2 linked regions of the Mytilus edulis genome follow. The protein of the gene in region 2 purifies or fractionates together with the protein of the main gene of each other region. This does not show direct contact. Links are inferred from orthologs where the notes say so. Each region holds a gene or a part of one and is shown on either strand. Other genes may lie near its edges.

Region 1 (8,267 bases), on a different chromosome or scaffold from region 2:
TAAATAGGTGACACAGAATAGGTTTCTGACATAGAATGAATGTGGTGTAGGAATTTTAAAAATTTAAATTGGATATTTACCTATTATGTTCCCAAATCCAAAATCTAATTTTTTAATTTAATTTTGAACCCTTTTGACCTTAATACAGACCAATTTGAAAACGGGACCAAAATTAGAAATCTGAATACACAGCTAGTTTCCGCATATCAAAGAACCCCAATAATTTAATTTTTAATGAAATCAAACAAAGTTTAATTTTGGACCCTTTTGGACCCTAATTCTTAACTGTTGGGACCAAAATTCCGAAATCAATCCAAACCTTCCTTTTGTGGTCATAATCCTTCTGTTTAAATTTCATAGATTTCTATTCACTTATACTAAAGTTATTGTGTGAAAACCAAGAAAAATGGTTATTTGTGCCCCTTATTCCTTAACTGTTGGGACCAAAACCCCCAAAATCAATCCCAACCTTCCTTTAGAGGTTATAATTTTTAATTTTTGCAGTCGTATAAAAAATTAGAAACACTTCTGAACCACATCAACAAATGACAACTATTGAACATCAGGTTCCTGACTTAGGACAGGTGCAAACAAAAGCAGTGGTCAGGTTTAAACATTTTGATAGGTACAACCTTCACCTTTATCTTATATATACCATATATGTCTTTGAGTTAGTCTGGGAACAGTATATCTTACAGGAAATGAATTTATTCTAATAGGTTTATCAGGATTAAATTGTCAGATAAAATCCCGAACTTTAAAAGACTACGCAAGATTTTGGAATCGTCTGACCATGCTGACTGCAAAACCATCGAGATTGCTCAATAAATCACCAACATATTGAAAACATTCAACAATATAAGTTTTATATTTCAGTAGATATATTTTGTCATATAAAAATACCAACATAAGTGTTGGTTTTTGTTTTACATGAAGTGCTTTATTATGGTTAGTGAAATTTGTTGTTACTGAAAATGCTATCGGTACCATTTTTATTACCCCTTTGGCATTTTGTACCCTTCTTTGATGAAATGAATGTGATTATGAGAAATTTGAAGTGACAAATTACAAGTTAGATACAATGGAATCCCTCAATATGTGTAAATGACGGAAGCAGGACAAGTCGCCCCACTGGCAAGTCGCCCCACACCTAATCGCCCCACTTTTTCACCAACTCGCCCCACTTAAAAAAAAACGCCGAAACCTGGATTACCAAATCGCCCCACTTTTTAAAAAATCGCCCCACATGTGAAGTTGGTTAAATCATGTTTAATATTACCCCGGCCAACTTGCCCCACTTAATGGAAAACGGTAATATTTAGATTAGAAAAGAAAAAAAAAAAAAGGAAGCATTTCAAACATTCCCATAAGTGGGACCAATTGGAAAGCCAACACACATTTCAGTTTAATTATTTTATTCGTAAGTGGGGCTAGTTGGTAGCCTTTAACTCTATTCATACTTGTACTATTCATAAGTGGGGCTAGTTGACATTCACGTTACCGAAATATTAATACTCACTTCTTACTGCTATATTAAAAAAAAGGAATAATATAAGAAGTTTCTATAAGGTTTTCAATGGGATAGCATCTTTTTCCTTAAGTGGGACGAGTTGGCAGGAGTAATATTCACGGAATTTAACTTATATACAACGGGATAACATCTTTTTCCATAAGTGGGGCGAGTTGGCAGGAGTAATATTCACAGAATTTAACTTATATACAACGGGATAACATCTTTTTCCATAAGTGGGGCGAGTTGGCTTTACTAAATTCATCCTGGTTAATAATATAATATAAATCTAGATGTTATCGTTTTCTTTTAAGTGGGGCGAGTTGGCAGGAGTAATATTCACGGAATAACATCTTTTTCCATAAGTGGGGCGAGTTGGCTTTACTAAATTCATCCTGGTTAATAATATATTAATCTAGATTTTATCTTTTTCCATTCAGTGGAGCGAGTTTTCAGGAGTAATATTAACGGGATTTAACACATTAAAAAAGTGGGGCGATTTGGTAATCCAGGTTGGGGCGTTTTTTTTTTAAATGGGGCGAGTTGGTGAAAAAGTGGGGCGATTAGGTGTGGGGCGACTTGCCAGTGGGGCGACTTGTCATGGATTCTAAATGACATATATCAATATTATCATACCTGCCAACTGTCACTATTTACGGGGTTTTCCCCCATGGAGATTTTGAATGAGCAATTTTGTCCAAAATTTAAAATAAAACATTTAATTTTACAATGGCTATAGGCTTGTATAAGTATGAAGAAGCCAAAAAACAACATTAAAATACCTTTGAAGGCCCCCTTGATGGTTTTGTAGGACTACAAGAGCCATCTTGCATGTAAAACCCCCATGGGCATTTCAAAAAGTTGGCAGGTATGTATTATTAGAAATTATTAAGATAATAGTGAGTACTGGTTTAAACATGTGCATTTCCAAATCGTGTAATTTATTAACTATGACCAGACTATGAAATCTGCTATAATTAGGTAGTGGCAAGTCCCATCAACAACTGGTCAATACACCTTATCGCTATTTGTCTGCCATTACTGGATATCACACAGGTTCCCGTAAAATTTTGACGTCATAAAACAAAATATCTGACGCCACAATGGAAAAATGATAGTTGTATGCATCAGTAGTTCAAGCGTCTGGGTCAGCTGGGATTAGCGATAAGGTGTATACATATCGTTATGTTCCCAAGTAAGTCAAGTATAATTTATAACATGATTAAGGAGATGTATGGTAAACATTTAATGCAGATACTTGCGTATCAACTGGTTGATGTAGTTAAATAATTACTTTTTAATTTCATGCAAAAAAAACACAAACTTCTAATAATCATACAAATCAAACTCGTACTTTGAAAAGGATGATGAGCCTTTCCCTTTTGGCGTAAACAAGTTTGAAACTCTTTTATTTTGAGCACGTCCACTCTGTTTTGTCTGTGAAAATGGAGATTCTCTTGATCTTGTTGTCATTCCTCTTGGTGTGAACATTTTAATGGTTTTATATATACAACCATATGAAACTTTATTTTTTGCGGCAAACGGATTTATGTCGCTTACGTTCCTTCCCAATCAAAATAATATAGATCTACATTAACATTTTCAAGTTTTCCATTCACCCCTTATATATTCTAGTGAACATTAAAAGAAATTCAAATATAATTTCTATGATTATTTCATTTTTTATAGTTATTAAAATGATTATAACAATGATGTGAGCGGTTTGACAAAAAAAATGTAGTGTAAAGTGTTCATCTTAGGATATATGCATTGAGTCTGTCGAGCAGTGAGAGCAAACTTACACCATTAATTCCATTATGTCTCATCACTGTTGATAGTATGAAAGCGTTTGATGTTGTCAGCCATGTAATTGTGTTGGATAAGTTGTATGAAATAGGTGTCCACCCTAAAATTTGGACAATCGTTAGAGATCTATATGATGGTATGACCTCAAAAGTCAGATGGGCCGGTGCAATAAGTCCGAAATTTAATATACTACAGGGAGTGAGACAAGGTGGCATTTTGTCTCCATTACTGTATAAAATTTATAACAACAATTTACTGATGGAATTACAGGAAACAAGACTAGGTTTCAGGATGGGCAATGTTTATCTGGGATGTCCTACATGTGCGGACGATATCGCTCTCTTGTCCTCAAATCCAAACGAACTACAATGTATGTTATCAACCTTACATAGACATGCTGTGCAAGACAGAGTTTCAATTCACCCCAAAAAGACCAAAGCAGTGGTTTTTAGTAAATCAAACAGTATTAAGTCTACATTATCTTGGAAACTTGGTGACTCTGATATTTCGCCATCCAATCAAACTGTGCATTTGGGAATTCTTAGATCTGAGCTTAAAGAAAATAATCTGAATTTAGAGGATCGTATTAGTCTAGCAAGGAGGACTATGTATGCATTGATTAGCACAGGACTACATGGCTCTAATGGAATCAATCCCATCGTTGCCTACAAAATATATCAGTCTTACATACTGCCAAAGCTTCTGTTTGGGTTAGAAGTGTTGCCACTGAACAAATCACAAATAGACATTTTAAGGAAATTTCATATTTCAAATTTACGTCGATTCCAATCATTGCCGACACGTACAGCAACAGAAATAGTTTACTTATTACTTGGTGCATTACCTGTAGAGGCAGAGTTGCATAAAAGACACTTAAGCCTTCTATATAACATTATCTCCTGTAATAACTCTACTCTGAAGAACCTCATGATGAGACAATTGGCTGTAAACGGTGAAAATCAAGAAAGCTTTTTTGGTCGAATACAGGATATTCTTGAACAGTACAAGTTGCCGAAAATTTATACTCTAATGGCAGAACAACCTTCAAAATTAGCGTTCAAACATCAATGTAAAAGTGCAATCCAGAAAACATGGACTAATATATTAGTAGCTGAGTCTGTCAAAAAATCAACTCTGAAATATATCAATACAAAAGATTTGGCTGTTGGAAAGCCCCATATAATATGGAAATCGTTGCGTTCTATGGTATCTGAGGTTAAAATGGGCATTACAAAAGCCAGAATGCTTACTGGAACATTTATGACACAAGTTATCAAACACAAGTACAACATAGAACATTCAGATCAGATTTGTAAACTGTGCACAATATATTCCGAAGATCTAATGCACATCATTCTTGATTGTCCCGCCTTATTTTCAACTAGACAAATATATTATAACCGTCTCAAAATAGAGGTTATCAATGTGATTGGTGAAAGCAAGTGGTCCGAGCTATTTGGAAACAAAGATGCGATTCTTCTGCTAATTTTAGACTGTACAAATTTTAGCAAATATTTTAGTGTGGATCAACAAAATGCTATTACAAAGTTATCAAGTGTGTTATGTCATCAACTATATTTAATGAGACTGAAACTGCTAGAAAAGTCAGCAAAAGTGCCCAATAAACAATGTGGTAGTGATACATGTAAATGAACAGTGACCTTATAAATCTGATTGCTGGAGATATTGGCAATGTAGTCTTTTAAAATTTAAAATTAACCATATAAAATTCCACCAAAGACAATTTAAATAACTTTTTTTGATTTTGAAAAAAAAAATTAATTGATAAAAGTGGAAAAGTGGGTCGTGTATGCTTGTGTATATATAAAACATTCTGTGAGGAGAATTGGAGATATGTAGATAGTGTAAATAACATTCATGACAAGATATTCTTGGTGTTCCTTAAAGGAAGGCAATACAAACAGAAGAAGAAGAAGAAGTGGCGGCGAGAATTCCTTTTTCTATTTGAAGAATAGCCTGATGGACCATAGTAGAGGGGGGGGGGGGGTTAATTCAATGCAAGATCCAACTTCCAACTTAATTCGTACATATTTTAATTCTAGCTTCAATCAATAGACAAAACTTATACAAAATAATAAGCCTAGCTGTTATCTGAGTTTTTCGAATGATTTTTTACAGCTTTACTGCATTACTTTTACTTAGACTCGTTTGAAAATGCTTTCAGTTCATGTCAATGATATTATAACGATATAAACGTTATTATAGTTTCATCATAACTTTAGACTCAGACTCGGTTGATATTATTGACAATCCCGATGCAAGCCAGTATAACCATTTATCAACTTTGTATCCGAAATTTATCCCATCTTAACTAATATTATAGAAAGCGACAATTAATGTTGGCTGAGGAAAAAACATTACTACAAAAGGGGTGATTACAGCGTTTCAATTATAAACATTACATTACTTTATGAAGCAATAATAAGATTGAGAATGGAAATGGAGAATGAGTCAAAGAGACAACAACCCAATCATAGAACAGACAACAGGCCACCAATGGGTATTCGATGTAGCGAGAAACTCCCGCACCCGGAGGAGTCCTTCAACTGGCCCATAAACAAATGTTACTAAACTCCGAGTATACACCAGAAAAATGCGGCGGGGTTAAACATGTTTATGAGATCTCATCCCCCCCCCCCCCCAACCTTATACCTCTAGCCAATGTAGAAAAAAACAAACGCACAACAATACGCATAGCTAAAACTCAGTTTAAGAGAAGTCCGAGTCCGATATCAGTATAGGGAACAAAAGAAACTGAACAAAATGACAATAATATATAAATTAACAAAGGACTACTAGCAGTTACTGACATTATTTACTAGCTATTTTGGTTTCAGAAAAAAATTAATGAACTGTTTTTTTTATGATTCTCGGTAAAATTGAAATTAGATACTTTAATGAGAACACTCAAGTGTTTTACCAAGCGGGAACAAGATTGAAATATAATTATGTAAATGTTATACTTTAAATTAAAATTTAAAATACATTATCATACTACATCTTCTAAGAAACTAAGTCCCCGTGAACTTGAGTTACTGGAATTCACCTTGTAATTATATCAATGACAAATTAGATGCAGTATCCTATATCATTTAAGAATTATTATCGCAGCTATTGGAAAAATTAAAAGGACAGCAACAGCATGTCAAGGACATAACGCAAATGAAAGCCTCGATCAAAGACTTACGCCAGGATGTACGGAACGATTCGTTGCGTATCAATACTATAACAGATCGAAGAATGACCGGTGTTTACGCACTTAAAGCGAAAGTTGAACTTATAAATGAAAAGCTTAAAGATAATGATCCGGCATATGAACATCTCGAAACATCTTAGGAAAAAAGTAAATAACGTAGAGAAAAATCTGAAATCTCGTGATGAGAAAACTTTTGCAGATGTCATAAAAGCCAACCTACGTGAACAAAACATTGACTGTGAATGTGTCCGCCAAACCCCTGAGGTCTTAAGCACCAATAGTGTGAATAGCAATTCAAATCAATCAACCGAAAATTTAGTTCATGTACCGATATCACAAGGCCCGCTTCGTGCACCTGTACACTCAGCAAGCTTACTTCATGTTGAAAATAGTTATTCAGCTTCAAATGCTGGTCGTAAAACTTTAAACTCGAATGATATGCCTCAGTCGAAACAAGTTAAAACAATCCTCAACAAAAGTAAAACTGAAACAACGGGACAATTACAAAAAGACCCCATACTTCATAAAATACCAGTACATGTTGCTAATGACGCCAATATGGTATCAATTCGAGAAAATCCATATTTTCAAGGTAGTCGAAAAAATCGAGTCGATCGTTATTTTGTAAGTGGAATCAGCTTAGAATCAACTGAACATGGCATGAAATCGTTTTTAGAAGAAAACGGCATACGTTACATGTTTCTGAGATTTTTTAATAGCCGATATGGATCATCGTTTTCCGCTCAACTGAATGTGGTATGCAATGACAGCAGCATAGTTCTTGATCGTGCTTTTTGGCCTACTGGTATTCGAGTTAGACGGTGGATTCCGAAAAGTGGATTTAACGTGAAACATGAAAATGTCAAAGTTGACCAATACGGAAACTCTGATGGTGATTAAGCAACTCACGAAAATCTAAAGATATGTCAGAAAAAATAAACATAATGTGTTGGAACTGTAAAGGCGTCATGTCGGCTGTTCCTTATTAAACTAATTGTTTGGAAAAATACGATATTAACATTTGCGCATTATCTGAACACTGGCTTCGTAAATGTAATATACACTTTCTACAACAGATTGATAGCAAATACAAAATTTATGCTAAAAGTGTTGACGAACTTTTACCAACGACACAGAAATGTTCTAATTACAGAAAAGGTGTTGCACTGTTAGTCTCATCGAATATCGATCGTTATGTTGTGCACGAAATTGATGTCGATTCAGATAGGATTATGGCCTAATGATGTGACTATTTTCTTCTTCTGTGTATACTTACCCGCTGCTTCTCTCCCTATTGATTTGTTTAAAGAATATGTAGATTTACTTCACGAACTCTATTCCGTATATAGTCAAAATGGCATAGTAATTTTTGCTGGTGATTTTAATGCGAAAGTTCAAGGACCACGTGTCAGTGGTGTTCAAGACGACAGAAGCAAAATATTGCGGAGAGTTTTAGATGAATTTTCCTTAATTTCTTTAAACACACAGACTTTTTGTAAAGGACCTATACACACTTTTCAGGGCTACGAAAATGGTCCTTGCTCAACAATAGATCATATAATTGTTCCAGATAACCTGCCATTCAAACCGGAAAATGTAAATATTCTTGATGACGATGGATTGAACTTATCCGATCATTTTCCTATTATATGTACGTTCAACCTAGGCGACTCCTTTACTCGTCCAAATCTGTCAACTTCTTCAACAAACATAGCCTGGAATAAAGCTCTGTGA
Region 2 (8,583 bases):
GGGTAAGGGAGGTAATCCAAACATTTTTTTTTATCATTTGGATAACCTCCCTTACACTGCTTTAAAATTGTCTTAATTGTCCATTAACCAGTAAAACCCTTGTTTTTTCCATATTTTCCCCCCCTAATTCCTAAACAGTTTGAGCCATATACCCCCTTAGTCCAATCATTACCATCCGTTTCTGGTATGGAACCTTGTGGTATAATTTCAGAGAGATCCCTACACTGTTCCATAAAATATTGTCTAGAAACTAGAAAAATGCTTATTTTGGCCCCTAATTCCTAAACTGTTAGGACCACAACCCCCAAAATCAATCCAAACCTTCATTTTGGGGTTCATAGATTTCTATTCACTTAAACTAAAGTTATTGTCTGGAAATCAAGTGTCTTTGGACGATGGTGACGACAATGACGACGTGCTAGCAATATACGACCACAAAAATTTTACAATCATATAAAAACGAGACTTCTTCTAGCTTCAGTTCATAATTATACTCATAAGGGTCACAATCTGGTTAACATAATATAGAGTAATGGGCCAATACCACCTAAAAATGGATCAAAAGATAAGAAAAACAGAGAAACATTATAATGAAATGAGAAAAAAACACTGAAACCAAGGACCCCCATACCGACCCTCACTCATGACTCATGAAATTGCTGGAAAAGCAAAGAATGAAACTGGAAAAATAATTGATAGAACATGAAAAAGTTACAGAGTCCTTGTTATATATTTTGATACTTTTCGATTTTCCTTTTCAATGTAAATAATAAGTCTTACATAATATATATACATGTATATATATACTTACCTGTTAAGTCATAGGTATCATCAAAAGAGGAATACATATATATTTATCTCCACACTTAATGTGATGTATAAAACTAATGTGGTTAAAAAATATTAAAGTGTAAAATCTATCAGCACATAAATTGGATGTGCTTGACTGGTTTTAAATTTCATTTATTGTGATCTAACTATACATGTACTGGTATGTGCTGTCCTTAACCTTTACCTAGTTTTTCAACCTGTCTAACCAGATTATAAAATTGACATTACAATTGAGTGATTTAGATTAAATTGACCAGCTGGTATTGTTTAAGTTGAGTCTACCTTGCTATATATGTACCTGATCTGTTATTTGTTGTTTATCTAACCTAATCTAATAGCATGCTTTTTTCCTGAACTTTTCTTCACCTAGGATTATATTCTATTATAAAAATGTTAAGGAATGATGTTTTCTGGTTTTTTTCTGGTTTTAAATCCATATAATAGAGATAGTCATTCTCATTTTGACTCAAAAAATCTACATCCGTGATTTTTTTTTATAAATTGAAGTCATTAGCATACACGGAAATTACTAGTAAAAGTATTTTTTATATAAAACATGAACCTTTAAATTGTTTACTCCTAAATATAGTATTATCAGGTTTTCAGTGAAACAAGAAATAGCTATTTAGATGTTTACAGTTTCAGGTTTTTTTTTATAAAATTCAGTCTGATATAATTATGTCATATTTGTTTTCATATCCCTGCAAAATTTTCATTTTGGAGTAGTAAATATAAAAAAAAACATCAAAATAATCTGATTGCTATTATAACTGATTTAAGTGTAAATTAAAGGCCGTCTAAATGCTTACATTATTTTATATTCTTTAGGGAAACAAATGAATTGTATCATAAGAAGTTGAAAAGATTTTATTGGCAGAATGACAACAATATATGGAAGTCAATAATTCATAAAATGTCAATCTGATATTTGTGACAATTTTTACATATAAATCTACAAAATTTCTAATAAATTGTTAAATTTGTATGATAAAGATGAATGTATTATGTATATAATCTGTTAGCAACATCATTAGACAATCATGAATGATAATGTGAGTCTAAAGGAGGCTGGAAGGTACAAAAATGTCAGCAAAAATATTATTTTTTTGTTTTTATTGCAAATTGCATTTATTACACTATCAGTTGTTACTTTATGATATGGTAAAAATAAATATCAATCAAAAACATGATTTCATTTTGGCCCCAGATGACTTTTAAAATGTTTATCACATTGAAAAACTCCAAATTATCTCCCTTTGCCAATTTTAAACATCATTATGTGTTGACATAAATTGCTGCTGCAATATAATAAGATTTGAGATTTTACAAAAGTTTTTCATTTGACCATTATATATACGATGTCCTCATAATAACATACCATACACAAAAGAAAAAATTGCATTTAAGAATTGAATGCTTCTTTTTGTAAATTTATGGGATGTAAAAGCATTGACCGAAGTACATTTTGTGTGAGCACATAACATTCTTAAATTGTTGGTAGACTCAACACTTTGAAAATTGAAGAAATATAAGCTCATGCTATTTTTATTTAAACTAACACAATTCAGTTTTTTATTTTACCATATTTTCCATTGACCAAGTTTGATGAAAAACTTTGGTAGTGACAAATGACCAATGACTTGGACCAATTCAAGTTTACCAGTTTTGACCAAGTTTTTGATGAAAAACTTTGGTAGTGACAACCAATGATTTAAACCAAGTTTACCAGCTTGACCAAGTTTTTGATGAAAAACTTTGATTGTGACAAAAGATGAATTAGACCAATGAAGTTTACCTGATCACAGAATACTTTTACCTGTTTAACTTTAATAGTTACAATGATGCTACACCAGAGGCGGATTAAGGGAGGGGGGGCCCAGGGGGGGGGCCTGGGCCCCCCCCTTTTGAGAAAAAAATTTGGTTGCTTATATAGGGAATCACTGAGGCTTGACGAAATCGGCCCCCTCTTAGGCAGCCAGTGGGCCCCCACTTATGAAATTTCTGGATCCGCCACTGTTCACATGGTATTAATTCACACATTTTCCTAAAGTGGTACAAAAAACATGATAAAGCATGCATCCACTTAAAGAATAACAGAAAAATTGGAAATTGAAAAAAAATTAAGTACAGGTACATGTATTAGATAGACATAAAAATTATTTCCCCTGAGAATTTAAACTGTATATTGATAATTTGTAAATTTTATATATGTCACTAAAATAATATACTTACACAAACACGCTCCAAATAAAGAGTATATAAAAGAGTGAAAATTTAATGACTGAGTGTAACAGTGTCAAATAATAATTACCTTGATTGGCAATGAGTGGGTCATACTCATCAGACCGTGACATCTTGAAATTCTCTTCCATCAGAGATCAGGCTAAAAAACAAAGAAAAATCAAAATAAAACTTCTATCTCATTTAATATACATGTATGTAAAGTGACCCGGTCCAATACTAAGAATGGTCTAAATATTCAAAATTGAGAATTTGTATTGGAACAGATATTTGGTTGTTTCTTTAATTTATTTACATCTACAAATTATTTAATAGCACATATTTCTTCGCTGATCATATTGGAAATTAGAAAAGCGAGTATTATTTTGACGTTATTTCTGAATTAAGGAGATTTCACATATATATTTTAAATGGTTTATTATACAATGTATGACACATATATATTTTAGATAAAGAGCTACACTTAGAAAATATTACAAAATGGTTTTCAAGATCTTGACCTAAATAATATAAATGTTGTAATATGTAATTATTTTATACAGTTAAGAATAAATAACTTGAAAATGAAAACATGTGAAAGATTTAAGTGAAAATACTCTAATATCAGACAAAGGTCAACTCTTGAATTATTCTTTTAACATTTTTGTTTGTTTGTTAAGTAATTAAACTATTTGAAATTAAGCAAATTAAAGATAGGCAAGATAAAAATAATTGCACACTCCTTAAAATTAGAGACAGATAATTATGCGAAAAACTATAGATGGATCACAAATGTTATGTTAAAACATGCATGTTGGATAAGTTGAAGATGACATGGACATGATGGATGAAGAGCATTTCATATTTGAATGTCCCCTCTAAATTTTTTTAATAAAACAATTCTTTGACAAAGTTTTGATTGATATAATTTTTGGTGTAATAACACCACTTTTAAGCCCAGGTTTTAGGCTATTTTGTTGGGTCCAGTTTTTATTGGTGGAGGAAGCCGGAGTGCCCGCATAAAACCACCAACCTTAGATAAGAAAACTGACAATCCTAGTCAATTAAGATTGGAGTCAAGTGCACCCACACGAAAAAAAAAAGGGGGGGGGGGGGGCTTTCAACCTCAGTGTTGACTGGCTAGTGATTACAGTAGTAACTACATTTTTGTACTTAGACCACTTGGGCAATGAGGCCCCAATAAAATTTTGATAAGTTGTCAAGGGTTAAGTTAAGCAAAGTTACAAATGGAGTTATCCCTCTTTGTACTGGCCCTCTCCACTTATTTATTTATTTATTTATGACCACAAATGTATACAAAAAGCATGTACCACCAGTATTCCATACGTGTGTAGATATTGCATGAACTCAGTGATTTTTATTGGATCAGATTTATATGCTCAATATGGGCCCTATACACCTTATCGCTAAACCCCGGCTGACCCGTTCGCTTGAACTTTTGACGCAAACAACAATCACTTTTTCATTGTGGCGTCAGATATTTTGTATTGTGATGTCAAAATTTTATGGGAACCTGTGTGATATCCAGTAATGGCGGACAAATAGCGATGAGGTGATAAAGACACTTTGGTTGATATGCAATCAGCCATGTTTGCCTTGTGTATACCATATTAAATACTATTATAAAAGCTAAGCAACTTAATTCTTTACATAAGAACAGGATATAAAAAACATCAAGCACATACATGACATAAGCAGTGGCGGATCCAGAAATTTTCATAAGCGGGGGCCTACTGACTGACCTAAGAGGGGGCCCGCTCCAGTCATGCTTCAGTGATTCCCTATATAAGCAACCAATTTTTTTCCCAAAAAGGGGGGGCCCGGGCACCCTGGCCCCCCCTAAATCCGCCTGTGACATAAGCACATAAAATAATAAAATCAAATCTAAACTTACTTACAACTCGGAGTCGTACCCTTGTATATTTTTTCCCAAGCTAACCATAAAGGATGTGTATAGACTATAGTACAAGAAAGTTTAGACAGAATAATTAACGTCTACACAGCCTTATTTCCAAAATATTATATGACATGATCAGTTTATAGGAAGAAACAAAAATAAATATCTTACCATTCATATAAATCTGTTAATGAATTATACGTGTGAAACATTTAGTTGTAGGTTCATTGACTCTCAAATGCTGTATTGAACTGAAGTTTGTGATGACAAAATTCTATTTTTTGACATGTAAACATTTGTTTAATTTTGGAATGAATTCCGGAAAAAATCCGGCATCGTTCCGGATGTTCCCGCCATGTGCAAATTTTGAAAATGGCTGACATAAGAGCAACATTTGCTTCACAGAAAATCAGCAAAATCAGATGGAAAAACATTATAAAAAATAGTCTTGAGGGACCAGACACATTTGTCACAGGAAGCTGGGATGATGAGGTCATTATATATCATAAACTGAATGATTCTTACAGTATATAAACCATATAAACACAAAACTTTAACAATTTGCTACATTTTCCCTGTTATTCTCGAATTATATGTATTTGAGCTATAGCTATAGACTGCATATGACTTTTAAATGAAGATCCATTCAGGAATGATTTAATAGGTTACTAAAAGAAAGTCAAACTGATTATTTTATGGCATCTTGTTATTTTAAGAGAAGTGATGACTGATGAGTGATGTTATGACAAATTAAGACAACTTTCTATTTAGACTCATTTCCGTCAAGAACTTTGGTTTTAATGAACATCATTCTTGCATTTAGGGGCGTCATCACTTCTGTTCAAATGTTGAGTAAGTGGTTGGAAAACTATAAAGCTTAAGTGCACAAATTATTCGGCAAATTAAATTCTCATTCATGTCATTTTAATAAACGTATTTACACTTTTGGTATTTAGCTGTATCTTGCCCCAGAATGACCTTAGATCGACTCCAAATCACCTTTTGACGTCAAGCAACAATCACCTTTAAATTGTGACGTCAAATATTTTAAATTATGATGTCAAAGTTTACAGGAACCTGTGTGATTTTACGTAATGGCGGACAAATTTGCATACAAAGTGTAAATACGTCTATTGTCTTTCAGCACTGCTGTCATTAGGGAATTCTGTCTGTATCTATAGTGGTACATGTATGTGTAGAATCCTGTTTAGGCTTTTATACACGGTGGAGAAAAGCGCCGTTGTTATGGGCGGTGTTCTTGTAGAGTGGTCTTAAATGCCTCTACAGAACCTGCATGCACAACTTTATCTGGTAGTTGGTTACAGTGAATAGTTGTTTCCATAAAAAATGAATGTTTATTCTGTGGTTTGTTTATATTTGGTACTTTAAGTCCTCTGGTGTTATTGATGACCTTGACGTTCGATGATATTGTCAGTTTCACAGTCTGAATATGTTTTGGCTTTGATCGTTCGCTAGGGTCGTGCTGGTATGACAAAATAGTCCGCTGGTGGAGCTGGCACCAGAATTGTGATTAAGTGCAAAAATATTATTTCTAGTTTATCCTCCACAATGACGACAACTTAGACACTTGATGAGCATTTATAGTGCAGGGATGCATGCGATCCCCTCTATCTGGTAAATGACGTCTGACATAAAGGCGTGCACTATTGATGAGATTATCTGGTGACGGACAAACTCGAAAGTGTTCTATTGATGCTACATTTATAGAAGATAGTTCCAGGATAGCTCTTGTTTCAACTTAGAGGTTAAAAAATGTTTTAATTTCATGCATAAGCCTAGTTTTCCTCAGAGGGAAATTTGTGAACAGAATAAATTTGAATAATGGATTTTCACCTACAGAGAAATGCAAAAAGTCACAATGGCCATGATGGCGGCATGTTTACTTTGAAAATGAGTGTTGCAAAGTTCAAGCTTGCGCTGTAAATAAATCAACCAGTGAAATACAAAAAAATAGAAAATTAAGATACATGTACATGTAAGAAAATTTTATTTTGATTTCTGCATAAGTACAAATATACAAAACAAGCTCTAAGGAGCTTTTGACCAAATATAAAAACATATAAATAACATAAAAACTGTTTAATTTGACAACCTGTAATACAAAGTTGAATCTCACATACATTTGTACATACACGTACATGTAGCATGCAATAAAAATATGCAACAAATTTATAAAACTTACTTTAATACTTTGTTAGATGTCCTTTGAGCTTGATTACATTTAATATCCTTTTCGGAATTGTATTTATTAAGCAATGAATATCGAAGGGCGTAATATTGACCCTAATCATGCAAATACGATAAATTTTTTCGAACATTTCATTTTGTAGATTTAATCATCCCAGTACGTGTTTGAAGTTTTCTTTTTATATACAATGTACATTGTATAACCAAATGTTTTCTATCACATTCAAGGGCACAAATTAAGTCTGATGACTGTGCAGGCCAGCTAACAATGTATTCCGTTCTAAGCTACAAATTTGTGGGTGTACTGTGCAATGATGGACAGGAGCATTGTCATCTTGGAAAAAAGGATGACCTACCCAAAATTGCTGAGCTAATAAGCCTCTAATGTTCATCAAGTATTTCTTGGTATTTAACTAAATTAATATTGCCTTCTACAGGAGCAAGTGTGCCAACGCCATTCCATCAAATACAACCCAAAAGTTAGAAAAAATGATAATGTACAATATAGAGGCCTTTCAGGTTGAGCTTATTTAAGGGAAAAAAATACAGTGCATATTTTCACAAAGCAGGATACATATTAGCTTAACACAGAAAGTTATTTATGATTTGTTTTGGACAAAATTAGGGTGATTGAAGTATGTTAAATTTAAATCTTTTCTTTTGCAGGAAAATAAAGTATGTTTATGGAAAGTTAATAGAGAAAAGAAATTTGATGATGGAGATGGCAGGGGAACAGAAGGGGATGTTGATAATGACCCAATACCTATTTGTGAGGCCTCTCATATAGGAGATGTAACAGGGCTAGAGGTTTGTTATACAGTTTATATACATAAAATTGAGAATAGAAATGTGTCAAAGAGACAACAACCGGACCATATAACAGACTACAGCACAAGGTCAAAAATAGGTCTTCAATGCAACGAGAAATTCCCACACCCAGAGGTGTCCTTCAGCTGGCCCCTAAATAAATGTATATACTAGTTCAGTGATAATGAACGCCATACTAAACTCCAGATTATACACAAGAAACTAAAGTTAAAAATAATACAAGACTAACAAAAGCCAGAGGCTCCAGACTTGGGACAGGCACAAATATGCGGTGGGGTTATACATTTTGTACATGTATGTTATCATTGTCAAATAGAAACCCTTCATATGTTGTTAGTCAGTTAATTTTTAAATCCAGTATCAGATAATTTCATGCATTTTAGTAGAGGACAAATGAGGTTGTGCTATTTTGTGGCAGTCAGATTTTATTGAGGACAAATGAGACATACATTGTATATCATGTTTTTACTGCCCCCGCTGTAGTAGCTGAGGGAACATTAAGTTATACCCTTTGTCCGTCCGTACATCCTAAAGTTGGTTTCCATTCTCTAACCTTGGTTTGCCTCAACAAAATGTTA

Evidence for each region.
Region 1: the proteins of nucleoporin Nup43-like (region 2) and nuclear pore complex protein Nup133-like purify together in Homo sapiens (affinity purification with mass spectrometry; 5 studies listed by BioGRID and IntAct, counting the BioPlex papers as one, with this or other methods). This does not show direct contact. The link is inferred for Mytilus edulis from reciprocal best matches to the Homo sapiens genes NUP43 and NUP133.

Annotation. Positions count from the first base shown.
Region 1 is NC_092346.1:60,727,859-60,736,125, forward strand, and holds the start of nuclear pore complex protein Nup133-like, read right to left. Parts: upstream 3,099-8,267; 5' UTR 3,002-3,098; coding exon 2,865-3,001; intron 1-2,864. Other genes in the region: uncharacterized protein, read left to right, coding at 3,350-4,969. UniProt on the Homo sapiens protein: Involved in poly(A)+ RNA transport. Involved in nephrogenesis.
Region 2 is NC_092353.1:66,795,076-66,803,658, forward strand, and holds the start of nucleoporin Nup43-like, read left to right. Parts: upstream 1-5,300; 5' UTR 5,301-5,341; coding exon 5,342-5,461; intron 5,462-7,843; coding exon 7,844-7,984; intron 7,985-8,583. Other genes in the region: synaptic vesicle glycoprotein 2C-like, read right to left, coding at 3,143-3,203. UniProt on the Homo sapiens protein: Component of the Nup107-160 subcomplex of the nuclear pore complex (NPC). The Nup107-160 subcomplex is required for the assembly of a functional NPC.